Lepisosteus oculatus: one gene and its partner. The protein of the gene in region 1 interacts with the protein of each later gene in a pairwise test. Links are inferred from orthologs where the notes say so. Each region holds a gene or a part of one and is shown on either strand. Other genes may lie near its edges. The genes, in order: early estrogen-induced gene 1 protein and skap1.

Region 1 (7,075 bases):
ACAGGCAGTGACACTTCTGAAAACTGCTGATCAGGTCCAACCAACAAGGAAGGAAACAAGTTCAAGTAAAAAGCATTTAGGAAACAAAATGGGATGCACAGACAAATATGGACATTCTTCTCGAGAACTCTCAAAAATACACCCAAGGAGCTCTTCCAAGTGTACGTTACCAGCAACCACAACCCTGCAAGCGGGTTTAACAAAGTCCAGTTGCATAACTGATTTTTTAAATCTAAACAGTTTGACATTTCATAACCGTAACTACAACTGGCTCGTCCAACAGAGGGGAATTCGGGCCTGTTATGACTAGTTATTAGAGTTTCCTTTTTTTCTAAAGACAGCCCAGGTTAGCTTTGATCTCAGGGCCCTGGTTACCTTTGATCTCTTGGTTATGAAAGCCTGTTTCACAAAGCCGCTTGACCCCAAAAGGACTGCCTTGTTCAAGCAAATTCACCTGTCCCTGCGTAACAGGGCTGAGGGATTCCAGTAACTCCTGCTTATTCAGCTCACACGTCAGCAAGTAAGACATATCGAGAGGTTCAGCATCAGTAGTAACTGAGGTGTGAAAAAACAGGAATATTGCAGACAGTGGACACAAGGAGGATACAGGGGGCACCGTTTGTTAACCATGACTATTTTTTTTTATAAGGGTTAAAATAACCATGAGGTTAATGCTGTAAACACTGCACTGAAAATAGGCTCAATGGCCAAACTATTAAGCCCCCCTGCCTCCAGGGTCTCTCTCTCAGTGGCAGGCAGGTCAGGATATTTACCGATTTCTCTAAAGTGAAAACTGGTAGAACGTGGGGGGCGTGCACCTTAAAATTTCACACCGCTCATGCCATTATCACAACCTCAAACAAGAACCCCGCAAGGTACAAGGGTACGCAAGACACGCCCCGTCCTGGACGAGCCCATCTTGAGCTCTGCAGAGGCCCCCCAGTAACACGGCCTACGAGAATCTCTCTCCGCAACGTCCGTGGTGGAAGTCTCCAGATGGCTGACTTCCTGCCTGAATTCTAGCTTCAGTTTCTTTCCCCTCTCCGCATGCTCAACTGCGGCCAGATGCTCTGTAAGGTCCACGCCTGCCGGAGACACCACTCCTCGAGGAGGGACGGGCCTGCCGGGCCCGATCAGGCCTGCGGCCCCCCGCCCACGCCAACACGTTGAGTGTAGTGCGTCACAACGCCACTGCCAAGCCCTGCAGCGCACACGGAAAGGACTAGGACTTTAACTAGCGTCCAGCGTCTGCACCTGCACAGACCCTGATAAAGCACAGGGCAGGTCCACTCCAGAACGATGCGCGGAGACAGGACCGAGATGGTGAAGCTGGGGATTTACAGTACTTGTGTCCCCAGGTGGAGACGAGCTCATTCCCCTCTCCCTCTCCCACACACTGAAACTCTCTGCTCGTTAAGCTCTTCGCTGGGGGAAAGGTAATAGCAGGCCCTGAATGGGCCGATTGTTGGAAAGGAATTTGGAACAATTTTGCTTTACACAAAGGAGCTGAAAACCCAAGAGGGGGTGTTCACCTGCTGGAAACGTAATAAGAAATGATTTGATACCTCCTTGCAGAGAACCTAGGTCAGCAAAAAAAAAACTACATTTTTTAAGAATATTAGAAAGGCTACAAACTAGAGGACAGAGGAGACTATTCGTCCCGTCTTGCTTGTTTAACAGTTAGTTAATAGAAGAATCCTACCACTGCTTGAGAGAAACCAGATATCAACTTCAACCCAACTACTGTAGCTTGTTCCATACGACCACAATACTTTTGGATAAAACAATGCCTCCCGTTTTCAGCTCTCAGTTTGTGCGCGCCTGTGTTTATTCTGAAGAAATCTTCTGAGCTGACTTTGTTCATATCTTTTGAGGATCTTGAAGACCAAGAGGTACATAACCTAACATTTTGTTTGCATTTTTAATTGCTATATTTAAGTGATGTGTCAACATAAGCACCTTGGACCTCTTTCAAGTGTTTCTAGCTCAGCGTTTCTCTTTATAAGAGACCTTCTGATTGCTACAACCAAATACAAAACGACCCATGTAAAAAACTCCAGGACTGATGTTGGGGACCAGTGTAGGTATGTGCCACTGTTCAGAAGCTTCACCTGTTTTGCTGCTCTTGATTGCTGTGCCAGCTTTTCATGAAGCAGATGGGTTTCCACAGGACAGTGACAGGTTTTATCTGTAAAAAATATGCTCCTAGCTTCACAGCCCATTCTGTATGTGAGTCCATGAAGTACAGTCCTACAACACTGAGCATTAGCACCTTTACTGTTTAAAATGAAGCTGCCACATCCCATGCCCTGTTCTGTAGGAAATAGCCTTTTAGTCTTTCAGAAATGTTTGCTTATTACGTACGTGAGTGCCGGACTGCACAGCACTTTCATTGAGGTTTAAAGTGCCTTAATAATAGGCCTGCTATTGGGAAGAAGAGGTTTCCCGTCTGCCAGCCTTCAAAATTACTAGTGTGCGCTCAAAGAGCCCATTCTCCACTTGGTTTTTTACAGCTGTCTCTATAGGACTTCACTCCTCCACCTCGTCTCTCTCCCTCCTCTCCATGCAGCACAGAGCTCACCTTTTAAAGAAAACATGAATGCGGGTTCAAATTAAATATCCTTTCCCTTCCTAAAGAGTCAATAGATTCGTATGCTTCAACAAGAGCTGGACAAGCAACGTTTTGAAGAACTTGTTAGAATATCTAAGCTTAGATAATATAAGAACAAGAACACACACTTATTAAATATTTATGGTATTTTTCCCATTCTAATAAAACAAATCTAATAAAACTGCATATTTCCCCAAAAGCATTTGAACCGATTTACAAACCTGAGATTTTTTACAGAAGCAATCCGAGTGAAGATTTGAACCCACAACCCTCCAGATACGAGTCTGGAGCCCTGACCTCTGCACACCACTGCTCACACGTGCAGCTCGTATGCCCAAATAAACTGTAAAATAAACGACTGTTTTGCTGTCAGTTCCTCCTTTGGTCTGGCTGGCTGGAGATGACTACGGAGCCGCTGCAAATAAACGATTCAGACGCACCAACACGTAGCAAGCAATGGCATTTTTTTCAATCACATTTGTGAGGTATCACAATTACAGCTACACTCCTCCTTTTATTGTATACCTGAACAGCAGCTACACCAGCCTGGTATGCAGCAGTCTGGCTTTTATCAAGTTACAGCTTCGCACCTGAGCACTGGACACACAGCCTGAACTGGCATATTCTGTTATGCAATGTACCAGTTAAGCTTAAACCAAGCTGAGTCACAGCATGTGATCATGGTCCCCACCTTTGGAAACCAGGCAGGACTGCGGATCTGTGGTATATTTGCGATGTCAGTTAGAAAGCTGTTATATAATTCGTAACCAGCTTATCCTATTCCAACTGCCAGGTTAATATTTTTCTGCAAGGAAGCTAAGAATGAAATGTTCAACTTGTAGCGTCCTGAACATTTTAACAGGGAGTAGCACACAGCCTGAAATCACCAATCTAAACCTTTGTAAGCTTTCTTTTATATAAGTGGTGGCCAAAGAAATAAAGTAAACAGCGATTTCATGTGGATCATTCCTCCAAGTTGGAGACTGGGTGTCTCCGATCAAACTCGGAAAACGTTCCGTTTCCCTGGCGTCAGCAACCTGCAGCCTGAGAAGGATCACAGAGCGAATAACATTGAGACGAGCTAGTAGCTGGATCCTCTCTGCAAAAAAAAAGTGCTGACGTGGCTCTTACAGGCTTTACTTGTATTTTTAGGGAAGTACGGAGGGTGAAGGATTCTTTCTTCTCAGCCAGGAGGAAAAATAAAAAAACAAGTGATTTTAATTGAATTCAGAGAATTCATACCCCATTTTTTTTAACTCTTCTTTCGTGGTCTTTCTTATTCACATTTGTTGAGAGCTTCCTGCATAGCCTGCTCTTCTGAAGCAGTTCACCCTCAGCTCCGCCTCAAGTTAAAACCAGGCTTCACACTGGGCAGGCAAACACCCGAAAAACATAGGAAAACAGGCACTCGGAGACAAACTGACACGAACATGCACGTTCAATTAAACTAACAGGGCTGCGCGCACACACGCACAGGCCGAGACAGCATCTGTATCCAATCTGCTCCCTAGGCGATTAGCCGAAGACAAACAGAAATCCCCAGAAAAATTCCTCTACACGGGCAGGCTCACAAGACAGGGTGAAAGGCCACAGTGCTCCGCTTCAGAAAGATGGGGGCTAAACTGAAGGAGATGGCTGCCAGCAACCACTACAAATTAAAAGCTTTTTTAGCCAGAGAAATGTACCGCAAAACTACATCTAACATCGGATCCCGAACTTCATCCCTCTACTGAGCGCGCAGCTGGCTGGCTGGCTGGGGAGCTGCAGGCCGGCGCATTCTTCCCAAATTCAATAAGTCACGATGACAAGTCAGCAGCTTTTGTGGGATCTTTCGGAGTGCCGGCACTCCTCCAGCTTCTCCAGGTTCTCTTCCGAGTCAGCTGCCATGGAAGTCTCGGGACTGTCCAGGCAAAAAAGTCCCCCACTTCCCTGCGATCCCCCCCCAACTCAAAAGAATCCAGAATTTCCCAAACCCAGCCCCTCCGGGAAATGGGAGCCGCATGACAAAGAAAGAGAAACACGAACTTTGAGAAGCCATAAACAAAGTAAAGTTCCCTGCCAGAGGTACGCTCGACCCAAACCATGAGAGCTGTAAGCTCTGCAGGTCAGACCCGGGAACTTTCTAGAAATCTTTGATGTGGCAAAAGAAAAAATACAGCCGCTGCAGAAGAAAACACTTTCCAGAACTCCATTCAAAACTCAACACTTGAGCCCGAGTCTCAAGCTGGGCGATGTGGGTCGAGGAGTGGTCCAGTCGGAGAAACCGTGAAGAATGTCATCTTTGTGATGCCGTGACCCCGCCCGTGCCTGCTGGGGATTGATGCTCAGCAGTAGCAGGTGTGAACAGGCACTGATACTGAGACAATGACGCCCCTGGCAAGGGTCTGACATTACAAACTGGGGCTTATCGGCATCACCAGTGTTGCTAAACCACAAGATGCTTCTTCTCTCTCTTCATAGGAGTCACCTGAACGACGGCAAGGCTGAATTTTAGCAAGGGAATTTAAAACTCCTACAGGCTAACAGCATGCCGAACACTTTAAAGCCAGGGTTCTTACATCTGGTGTCTGGGGATTTCAGATCATTCAAGCTCATGTTCCTGCTGGGTTTTCAGTTAATAAACTACTTCATTTGGCCTTTTTAATTGTTTTCAGCTCTTATGAAGTTGATCCTTTAAGTAACTTCGGAAGTATCACAAACAGTAACACTTCGGTGGCGCAAACTTAATAAAAAGCGTCCAAGACCGAAAACGATTAGCCCCTTTCAATTAAAGACTTAATTGCGGATTTGAAAGCCGGGCAAGACTCAAATATGCTTGTGGTGCCGAGAAGCAGCTGGGGAGATTAGGAGACGGGGGGGAATGCAAATGAGAAGCTGCATGCGTGTCAGTTTCAGAAAAAGGCCAAAACAAACCGCTCAGCTCTCACAGGCCTTTTCACTTGTCATACGCAGGCGTGAGCCCAGACGTGCGCCCCTCTCCATGAACCAGCCCTTTCCCTGGCCGCTCACCCGCCTGCTCTTCCCCAGCGCCGCGCAAGCCAGCCAGGGGCTTCCTGGAACAGGACCACCTTGCTCACTCGGCACAGCTGCGAGGAGTTGAGGAGCTGGCTCCTCACCAGCCAGCGGGCCTGTGCTCTCACCGAGCTGCTGGAGCAGAACCAAACTAACGTCGCTTTCCCAGAGCGGTCTGCACGCTCACCGGCAACAGCGCTGCTGCCTCCGATGTTACAGACCACGAGTCAAATCAGACGTTCGATTCCACTATCAACACCAAGACACAGCAAGATCCTCCTGTCACAATCCTCCTCCGTGCTGTGACTCTGCAGCGCTCTAGAAGCAGGCAGAGTATATACAGGAGTAAGAGAAGAGGACAGGAAACAAAAAGCAAGAGCAGAGGCTCCAGCGACAGCGAGCTTGAAAACAAAGACCCCCTACTCCTGGGCAGGTTTACTAAACTGTGCACTTGGGGGAGATCCTGCAGTCTCCTTTCTTTCAGGACGGGGTTTTCAGACTGCCAATGCTGGATTTCTGGACCTTAATAGCCACAGTTTTAGGGGGGTGGGGAGGAGTGGATCTGATTTTGCTTAAGAAAGAAAAAGACAATATGTACATATTTGCTTCCAGTGCAAAGTTCACTATAATCTGTCCCAGGTCACAGCTCAATCCTAACTATAACATTACTCCCTCTATATCAACAAAAAAAGTGCAGAGTCACAGTAAAGGCCTACTAAGCTTTAAGCACACACGTAGATATTAAATGGCAATAGCTAAAGGATCCCTGTATTGCTTTTCCACAAAAGGAGATCCTTTGAAATTCATAACCAAAACAAGACCTGTAAGCAAAACACTTGCAGCTGCTCTCCGAGTCTAAACCACTGAATTCGCTAATAAAATCAGGAACTGCTCAACAGGCACCAGAAATCCACTGAAAAAAAAATCGATGTTTTTGTTTACCAGTGAATACTTGGACCTTTATCAAGAGTTTACTTCACACTAAGGATTCCTCTCCAGATTGCCAGTTTCGACACAGGCCCCTTGGTTTTCACGTTGTGGAACAAGGTCCAGCGAGGTGAAACAACAGGCGGCGCCGGCCCACAGCCCTGCACCTTATCTAGAAGGAGCACTACCGGCCTGCTGGTACCTGTGGGAGCCATGTGTTTCTGAGCAAACAACCAAAGCTTTCCTTGTGTGGCTGTCACGGCAACAGGGCCGGGCCTGCGTGGGGACAGGAAACTGTAAATCAGTCCTGTGACACACACACACACACACACGCACACACACACACGCACGCACGCACACACACGCACACACACACACGGTCACGGTCGCCGTGGAGCTCAACAGGAAGGGAATCCAGCCGTAAGCTGGCAGCTTGTCCGGGCGCCAGACTCCAGAGCGTGCCTGTGTAGCCCCCGGGCCCCTGCCAAACTGGATTTCATGCAGGAAATGGAGTCAATCAAGACA
Region 2 (7,597 bases), on another chromosome or scaffold:
AAATAGATCGGCGGCCCCTTTAAGAGCTCGCCTGCGCTGTAACCAGAGCCAGAATTTCCTCTGCACTTCAGAACAGCTCTCCGGCCAGAGACAGCAACGGTCGCCCCCTAGTGGGGCCGGCGGTGTACTTCACACTTCCCGTCTTGCAGGGCGCCCGAATGAGATCCCGGCAGCCTTCAGCCACAGACAGTCATCACTAGCCTGCCCTGGACATTCAGCCTGAGAGTCACCCAGGCAGCCACTGATCTACGGCTGTCTGTGAGCGTTGTTTTCTGCCGCTGACGACTGCAGGGTCTGTGCCAGCAGCGCAGATAGTAAACCCAGAGCTTCCAGGCGAGCCCTGATTGGGACTGGCCGCCCCAGGCCCGACTGGAGTCCTGACCCTGATCCAGATGCAGGTTCGCAGCTACAGCAGGGCACCGGCCTATGCGAAATGAGGACGCCCTAGGAGGACTGAAGCCCAGCCTCCCTGGCACGAGCCTCGGGACTCCTGCTCGGGCCCACTGGAGCGCGTCTGAAAGAGCGCCAGCTCTCCCATCAGCCTGGGCGGGACGTCTGCGTGTCTTGACCCTCCCCCCCAGACTGACCCATTCCTTCCTTATCGGCCCGCGTCCAGCCAGGCCCGAGGAGGCCTTATCGCCAGGCAAGAGCCTCTTCTGCCCTCTCACAGCAGAGAGACGGCATCTGGGCCACCTGGGCCTCTCCCGCCGCCTGCTCTGAGCGGCTGCGTCCGGTGTTCACCTGGGCCGCCCAGGCAGCCAATCACGGCGTCCCGCTCGGGTCACCATGGCAACAGCTTCCACCTAACCTGGGTTTCCGAGGAGAAACTTTCCGAGCTCGGCCGGCACCGAAAATAACCCACATGCTTTATTTTCAGAAGATAGGGGGTGAAATATACATATATACTCAATGTGTTTGTGCAGAGAAGGATTTTAAAGGTTTATGTGCGATGTGTCCGAGCTAAAGGAAGGGGCCCCATCACCAGACAAGCTGAGCTATTTTGAACTGTGCGTTGAGGCCTCCTGAACTGGACACGGTCACCTGCTGCGTTAGGAAACAGCAAGGATGTCGTTCTAGACTGTGACTGTGACACATTTCTGAATTATGATTAAAATGCTCACGCTGCTTTCATCTTCCTCCTGGCCTGTGTGTCTGGGTCAGGTGACAGGGTGAGGCAGAGGTGATGGCGAATGCAGAAGACCTTTCATTAACATGTATATATTCTTCACAAACTAACTGGCTTCTGTGTCTATGGAGGACCCACGACCCGGGTGACGAGTGAGCTCCTGTGCGCCGTGGCGTGGGCAGCAGCAGACCTGCTCCACCCCCCCACCCTGTGCCCGCTTTGGCGTGGAGCTTAATCCGTAACCTGTGGGGCTAAAACTTCATTAGCGCCCAGTCATCGGCGTCTCATTTAATTACCCAGCAGCTTAACGTGAGCTTAAAACAAATGATTTCATTACCTTAAAGGATGGACTCGGGCGCTGTGCAGCGCGATAGAAAATGAAGTCGCGTTAATTAAACCACCCCGTTCGTGTTTTAATCACGCGTCTTCCGGTGATTTGACAGCGATTCTGAAATTCTGGTTCGGGTAGCGGGGCCGGGCTATATCCGCGCCGAGGCGGAAAACAGTCAGCTTTTCGCACTAAAATAAACCGTGCCGCCGATTTCAGATTTATTACTGCTGCTACTGGTACTTATTACCGATAATAAAAAAAAAGCAATGTTTCAAAAAGATGCCTTTCACGTTGCCCAGCGCCTCAGACAACGTCTAAGCACATTAAATATGCATTAAAACGCTGGAAAGCACACGGTATAGGTGCATGGATGGAGAACAGATAACATATCGCCATGGGTAGTGTCACCGCCGGCTCCCCTCTCGGGCACCCGGCCCGCGGGCCTGCGGGGTATCCCGGCCTGGGGTACGCCACGGCCAGCCCCGGGGTGGGCAGAACCGAGCGAGTCGAGATGAGAGGCAACCGTTCGCTGCACCAAGGCCTCGAAAGGTTAGCTAACATTTGTTAAACACACTGTTTTATCAAAGGGCTGAGACAATAATTGAGACAGGAGCTGAAAGCGCGATAATTCTGTTGACGTAAAGATACGCCTTCAGCAGCTAATCTGTGTTTAAGTGAGCGATATCCAGAGCTGAGATATTACTCATTAGTCACTTGCGCCCATTTTACCGCGTGTGATGTGCCGCAGCATGTCTGAAGAAGGAAGGAGGTTTATACAGCTAGGATTACTTTTAATTACGGGTATTAAAATGGAAGGCAACGCCATTATAGGCTACTACCGCCATTATTGTCGTTGCCGTCGTTACCATGTGTATGACAACATCGAATTGACAAGGAAAAGCTCCCGCCTGTGACAGGACCGCACAGTTCGCCTGTAATAGATTGAGCGTTGAGTGAGGAGGAGATTAAGATTTTGCCCCAAAGCGAGCAGCACCACCTTAGATTTGTAAAGAAAAAACGTTCAAGTTAATCCGTTGTAGCTCCTATGCAAGCTGAACTGGAAAATACCTCCGTTTTTTTTTATCACAGACAATTTATGTAAAGTACTGCGATTAGAATTACCTATTAGGCTTCACTTCCACTGATGTACAGGCATTTTTAGTATTTAGTATTTAGAGTATTGTAAAACCAAAAGTAGTTTTCTGTGCAGAAAACCGCCTTGCAAGCAAGCAAGGGGGTCTCTCCCCCTTCACAGTTTGGGGAAACGGTGTGCAGGGCTCATTGGGGTTCCCAAAATGCTCAAGGACTGGTAACCCTGAGGAACTCCTGTCTAGTTAGGGAGCAGATTAATCATTCATAAAGAGGACCTTTAAGACAATGAATCCTAAAATACAATGTCTTGGATGGTGCTGGCTCAGGCCCTCCTGTGTCTATAACTTTTCCAGACCTGGATGTCTCTCCGCCTCAGGTGCTTAAGGAATTGAATTACACACTCCCTACAACGCCTGGGCCTGCTGCTCGTGGTCTTGATGGGTCACAGACAGGTGAGGAGCCCCGCAGGACTGGAACTGTGGGACCACAGCTGGGATTCACTGGGCACACATGCCAGGACCTTGTCCCTTGGGTGACACTGAGCCCATCCCATCAATCCCACTGATCCCACTGCTGATTCCCATCTGGGGGCCGGAAAAGGCTCGATTCCCCCCCCATTTCAGGTTACAGAAACACCAGTAGCTGCAACACCGCATCGTGTCTCTGGCCATTCAGGAGAGAAAAAATCCACATCACTTTAAGACTAGCAATCTACAGCACATGTTCTCAAACCCCTTATACAATCAGATCAAAATATATGGTGTATATATTCAAGATTGCCAGAAGTCTTTTGATGCAGTTATTCAGAAAAATATAAGGTGGTAAGCCTTCAAGATTATGTATTGGGATAGAGAACTGGTTAATATGCAGAGTACAAAAGGGTACATGCTCAAACAGGGGTGATATGATTAGCAGAGCAGCGCAGGGGTCTGTATTTGGACCACTGAGGTTTCTAATTTCTGTCACTGACCTGGACTCTGGTGTGAATAACAAATTGGTCAAGTTCGCAGATGATGTCAAAAAAGGATTAACAAGCACTGTAGGAGTTGCAAAGGGCATCTACAAAAAGACTGTTACAAAATCCCAAACTAATAACTTTAATGGCCATAGTTGCAGGTAAAAACATACATATTTCATGGAAAACACTTCGTAGGAAGCAGCTTGTGAAAAAAAGATGACATGTTCATGTTAACACATCATTTTCGTCTTCATCTTCACCTTTCGGCAGGGTCTGTATTCACCCCTCAAGTTCTGACGATTCGAACCCCCCTCTCTGAACGGGCTTCATCCCTCTGCTCTCCTCCCCACTGAGAGCGGGTGTGTGGGGGAGCGGACTGGCGCATCACCCAGGTGGGGGCCGCACGTTCAAGGATTCAAACTCGGGCGCGCCCGGGAATTAATTCGGAGGCGCGGATGAAGCCAGGAGTCTGTCAGCGCGCCGCGACAGGCCCCCCGGACTTCGCGCTCAGCTGGGGAAAGAAAAGATTGTTTTGTTTTGTTTTTTTTCCAAATCTGGAAATCACGTCTCTAAGTCTCTCATCAGGAAGCACTCGAGCGTTAACAGTTGTCTCTCAAACGGCAACTCCGACCCTTTCAGAGAATAAATATATAAAAGAGTGACGCAACGCCCCCCCCTCCCCCCGTCATCCTCCCCCAGAATCAAAACCTATGATTTAATGTCTGCTAGGAGGAGGTGTAGCAGCTGAATCTCTGGGAGGCTTATGTAACTGTGTTTATGAATTAATCGGCGCGCAAAGCAGTAAAGTAAAATGCACGCTTTTCAAGTTCACATTTTAACATCTCAACAGCTGTATCTTAAAGTGCTCGTTTTTACGATTCATAGCATCTGTACGAAGCAACAACACGAGAAGTACGCTTGCTACTTTTTCTGCAGCTGGGGGGGGGGTGAACCCGAGACACCCTGTGCACGGAGCTGAAGCGCGAGGGAGTTTTTTTTTTCTGACTAAACCCGACCCACGCGCGCCCGCTTTCAATTTCAGTTCTGCGGGGCTGGCAGGTGCCTGCGCGTGTGCGCGCCCGCGCCCCCGCCCCGGGCGCGCTCACCGGCGGAGGTGGAGAGGTGGAGGTCAGGCTCGTTCTCCCCCGTCGCCGAGTGCGAGCGCTCGCCTGCCCTGCTCGACCTGGACCGCAACACCTCTCCGCATCAGGTGGAGCAAGGACGCGCAAGCATGGACGTCGTCCCCGCAGACATTAAAAGACTTCTCGAAGGTAACTTTCAGCTTTCGTTCACTGACCTTTTTTTTTTTTTAAAGTTTAAATGTAACCTGTAGATATCCCTGAGAATTTCACATGAGCGGCTTGGGAAACACTGGAGGATTCAGCTCTGTCCCGCTGGACTCGTCGTTAAATTAAAAAACCCAGCAGCAACAGAGAATGACTAAGGACTGCTCATTTGATCTGCTATCTGCTGGCGGTGCCAGTCTAGGCTCCCTCTTTGAAAGAAATGCGTTGTGGCGACGCTGGGTTGATCGTACTGGCGACGCTGGTGGCGTGGTAGCCTGGACGCGCCGAATTAGGCCAGGAAAGCGTCGTTAGCACCGGGATGAGAACCCATTCACTGTCACGGGTGCACCCCTACAAAGCTGTAGGATTCCCATTTTGTGGCCACCCGCTCCTGACGCTTTTGGGAAATCATTTTTTTTTAAAGTATAACGTTTTCTACTAGGGAGGATAGCGGCCCCAGCCGCAGGACACCGGTCAAAAGCGGCCTAGGACAGACGAAAGGCGCTCCCTCGAGTCGTGAATCTGTAGTTTTACAGACCCCTGAAGTTTGTTCTTTCAGAGTCTGAAGGCTGGTGCCTCTTCATGGGGAAAGTAGCTGAATTTGGGCTGCTTGGGAGTTTTCAAGGGCGTCACAAGGAGTCCGATGGCGGCTGATGTAGTCGGGGCGCGGCTCGGGTACCATTTAACCCATCTGCTTGAGTTGGTGCTTGTATGGGCTGTGCTTGTGAATTTCTCTCCGAATCGTGTTTTTGTTTCCCCCTTTGTATTTCAAAAGCACGCTTAAATACTGTTACAGCATAAGAATGAGAGAGAGAGGGGACCTCGAACACCTGGGTACTCGTGTGTATGTACTGGAATTTATCCAAATTGGCATGTGCAAAAATGGCTTTAAATGGGTGAGGACTGAAACTGGCCTGGAATTAAAAGGCGCAAATGTGAGTTTTGGATTGCAGGCGATGATTTGCATTTCCGGAACAATGTGTATCAGTCCTTTGACAAGTATTTGCATAGGTCAACGGGCATGGATAACACCCTGTCAGATACGTACTGTAACAAAACAAAACAAACCCTGACGTTTGCATGTGTACATTCGGTGTAATTTTGTAATGTTTTTTAATTGGCTTTCAAGGTTTTGTCTACTGTAAAAGGCCTCGTTCCACTAGATATCATTTGGATGAGAGTTTTGAATCCAGGCCTAACTACTTAGTGTTGCAACCTCATGCCAGAATATGGGGGTGTTAATGTAGTCCTGGCCGATTTCCACTGCTGTACAATCTGACCTCCTTAGAGTTCCGTCTTAATGCAACTGGTGCAGCAGTTTTGCACTCCTCCCCTTGCTCTAGTGTGCTGTGGGGGCTGCTTGCGGCACCCAGGTGGGGCTGCAATGTGGTGGCAGACAAACTGGGTCCCCCTCCTGCATGAGAGTTGCTTAGCGATCTTTCAAGATGCTACAATCCCGCGAATGCAATAAAGCAGTGTTTGATTACCCAGTGGTGGGCATGAAGATGTGGCCAGCTTGGGCAAGAACAAGGAGATGGGGAGGAAAGTCTTTTTTTTTTGTCAAAGGATACAAAGTAGGTGGTCTACAGAGTGAGAGGGGATTTGAATGGTGAGCATCAGCTGTATGTGTAAAAGATCACACCGAGGTTGTAAGGTTTACACAGCTTTTTCTGATGGGCAGGGCTGTAGAGACATGAATGTAAATGTAAACTGACCGTCTTTGGATTTGACTTGGTGCTTCCTAGCAAAATTATTTTTGTAAATTTGTCGTGCAGGAAGAACGTGGTTCGCTCCTCACTTACTTTGGAAAGCCCCAGCACAGAGGATGCACCTGAGAAATTCTTCTCTGTTGTCGAATATGTGCTGCTTGCTGGGTAGGAGAGATGCGTGTGAAGACTCACTGAGTTGTTCAGTTTGAGACCATAAATTCTGCATTGGTGAGGGGGAGGGGAGTTGAAACATGCAGCACATCGAAAAAGCTTGGGATCCCAGCTGATTTGTTAAAAACCTGCTTTATAAGTTTACGAATCTGCGCTTTTAACTTTAAAACTTTAAAATTAAAATTGTTGAAGCGCTAATTGTTTGGGAGTGAACATACATTTCTGCTGCACTGAAGCTCTTTACTTAGAGCAGGGCACTCAGCTTTTCTTTCTGTCTCTGATCGTAAATGAACACATTATGAGTATAAGTCACAAACCCTGATTGTTTTACATTTTGATAAGTTGCTGATTGGGATGTACCAGTAAATCCCGAAGACCCCTGGCCCTTGAAGACCGAAGTTGTCCATTCTTATCTTAAAGCACTGGTTTCTAAAGGCTGCAGCAGGAAGGTCATTTGCTTAATGAAGTAATTCAGAGACGCGGGGCAGCGAAACTGACTGTACTGCCTTCCAGAACCTGAGGGGTTCAACACCTGAGCTAAGTGGACAAATTGATCGCTGATTTGAGCAACGTGGGCTTACCCACCTCCTTGGAGTGCTAGTAATAATAATAATAATAATAATAATAATAATAATTATAATAAACTTATTTTATATAGCGCCTTTAAAGGTGGCATTTCAAAGCGCTTTACAGAATGATAACAACAATAAATAAGAAGAATACACAAGATAAAACACAATGACAATACACAGAGGAGACCGTGGATGGTGGTACTAAGAAAAGCAGAGGGGTGAAGAATGGAACCAGTTAAGTAAAGGCTTTTCTGAAGAAGAGGGTTTTGAGTCTGGATTTGAAGGAGTTTAGAGAAGGTGACTCTGATATCCTTGGGGAGAGAGTTCCAGAGCTTGGGGGCATAACAGGAGC

Evidence for each region.
Region 2: the proteins of early estrogen-induced gene 1 protein (region 1) and skap1 interact in binary tests that used the Homo sapiens proteins (3 or more experiments, as listed by UniProt). The two-hybrid records come from large-scale screens. The link is inferred for Lepisosteus oculatus from reciprocal best matches to the Homo sapiens genes EEIG1 and SKAP1.

What each region holds. Positions count from the first base shown.
Region 1 is NC_090719.1:15,284,494-15,291,568, reverse strand, and holds the start of early estrogen-induced gene 1 protein, read right to left. Parts: upstream 3,096-7,075; 5' UTR 1-3,095. UniProt on the Homo sapiens protein: Key component of TNFSF11/RANKL- and TNF-induced osteoclastogenesis pathways, thereby mediates bone resorption in pathological bone loss conditions.
Region 2 is NC_090723.1:9,185,345-9,192,941, reverse strand, and holds the start of skap1 (src kinase-associated phosphoprotein 1), read left to right. Parts: upstream 1-4,494; 5' UTR 4,495-4,738; coding exon 4,739-4,778; intron 4,779-7,597. UniProt on the Homo sapiens protein: Positively regulates T-cell receptor signaling by enhancing the MAP kinase pathway. Required for optimal conjugation between T-cells and antigen-presenting cells by promoting the clustering of integrin ITGAL on the surface of T-cells.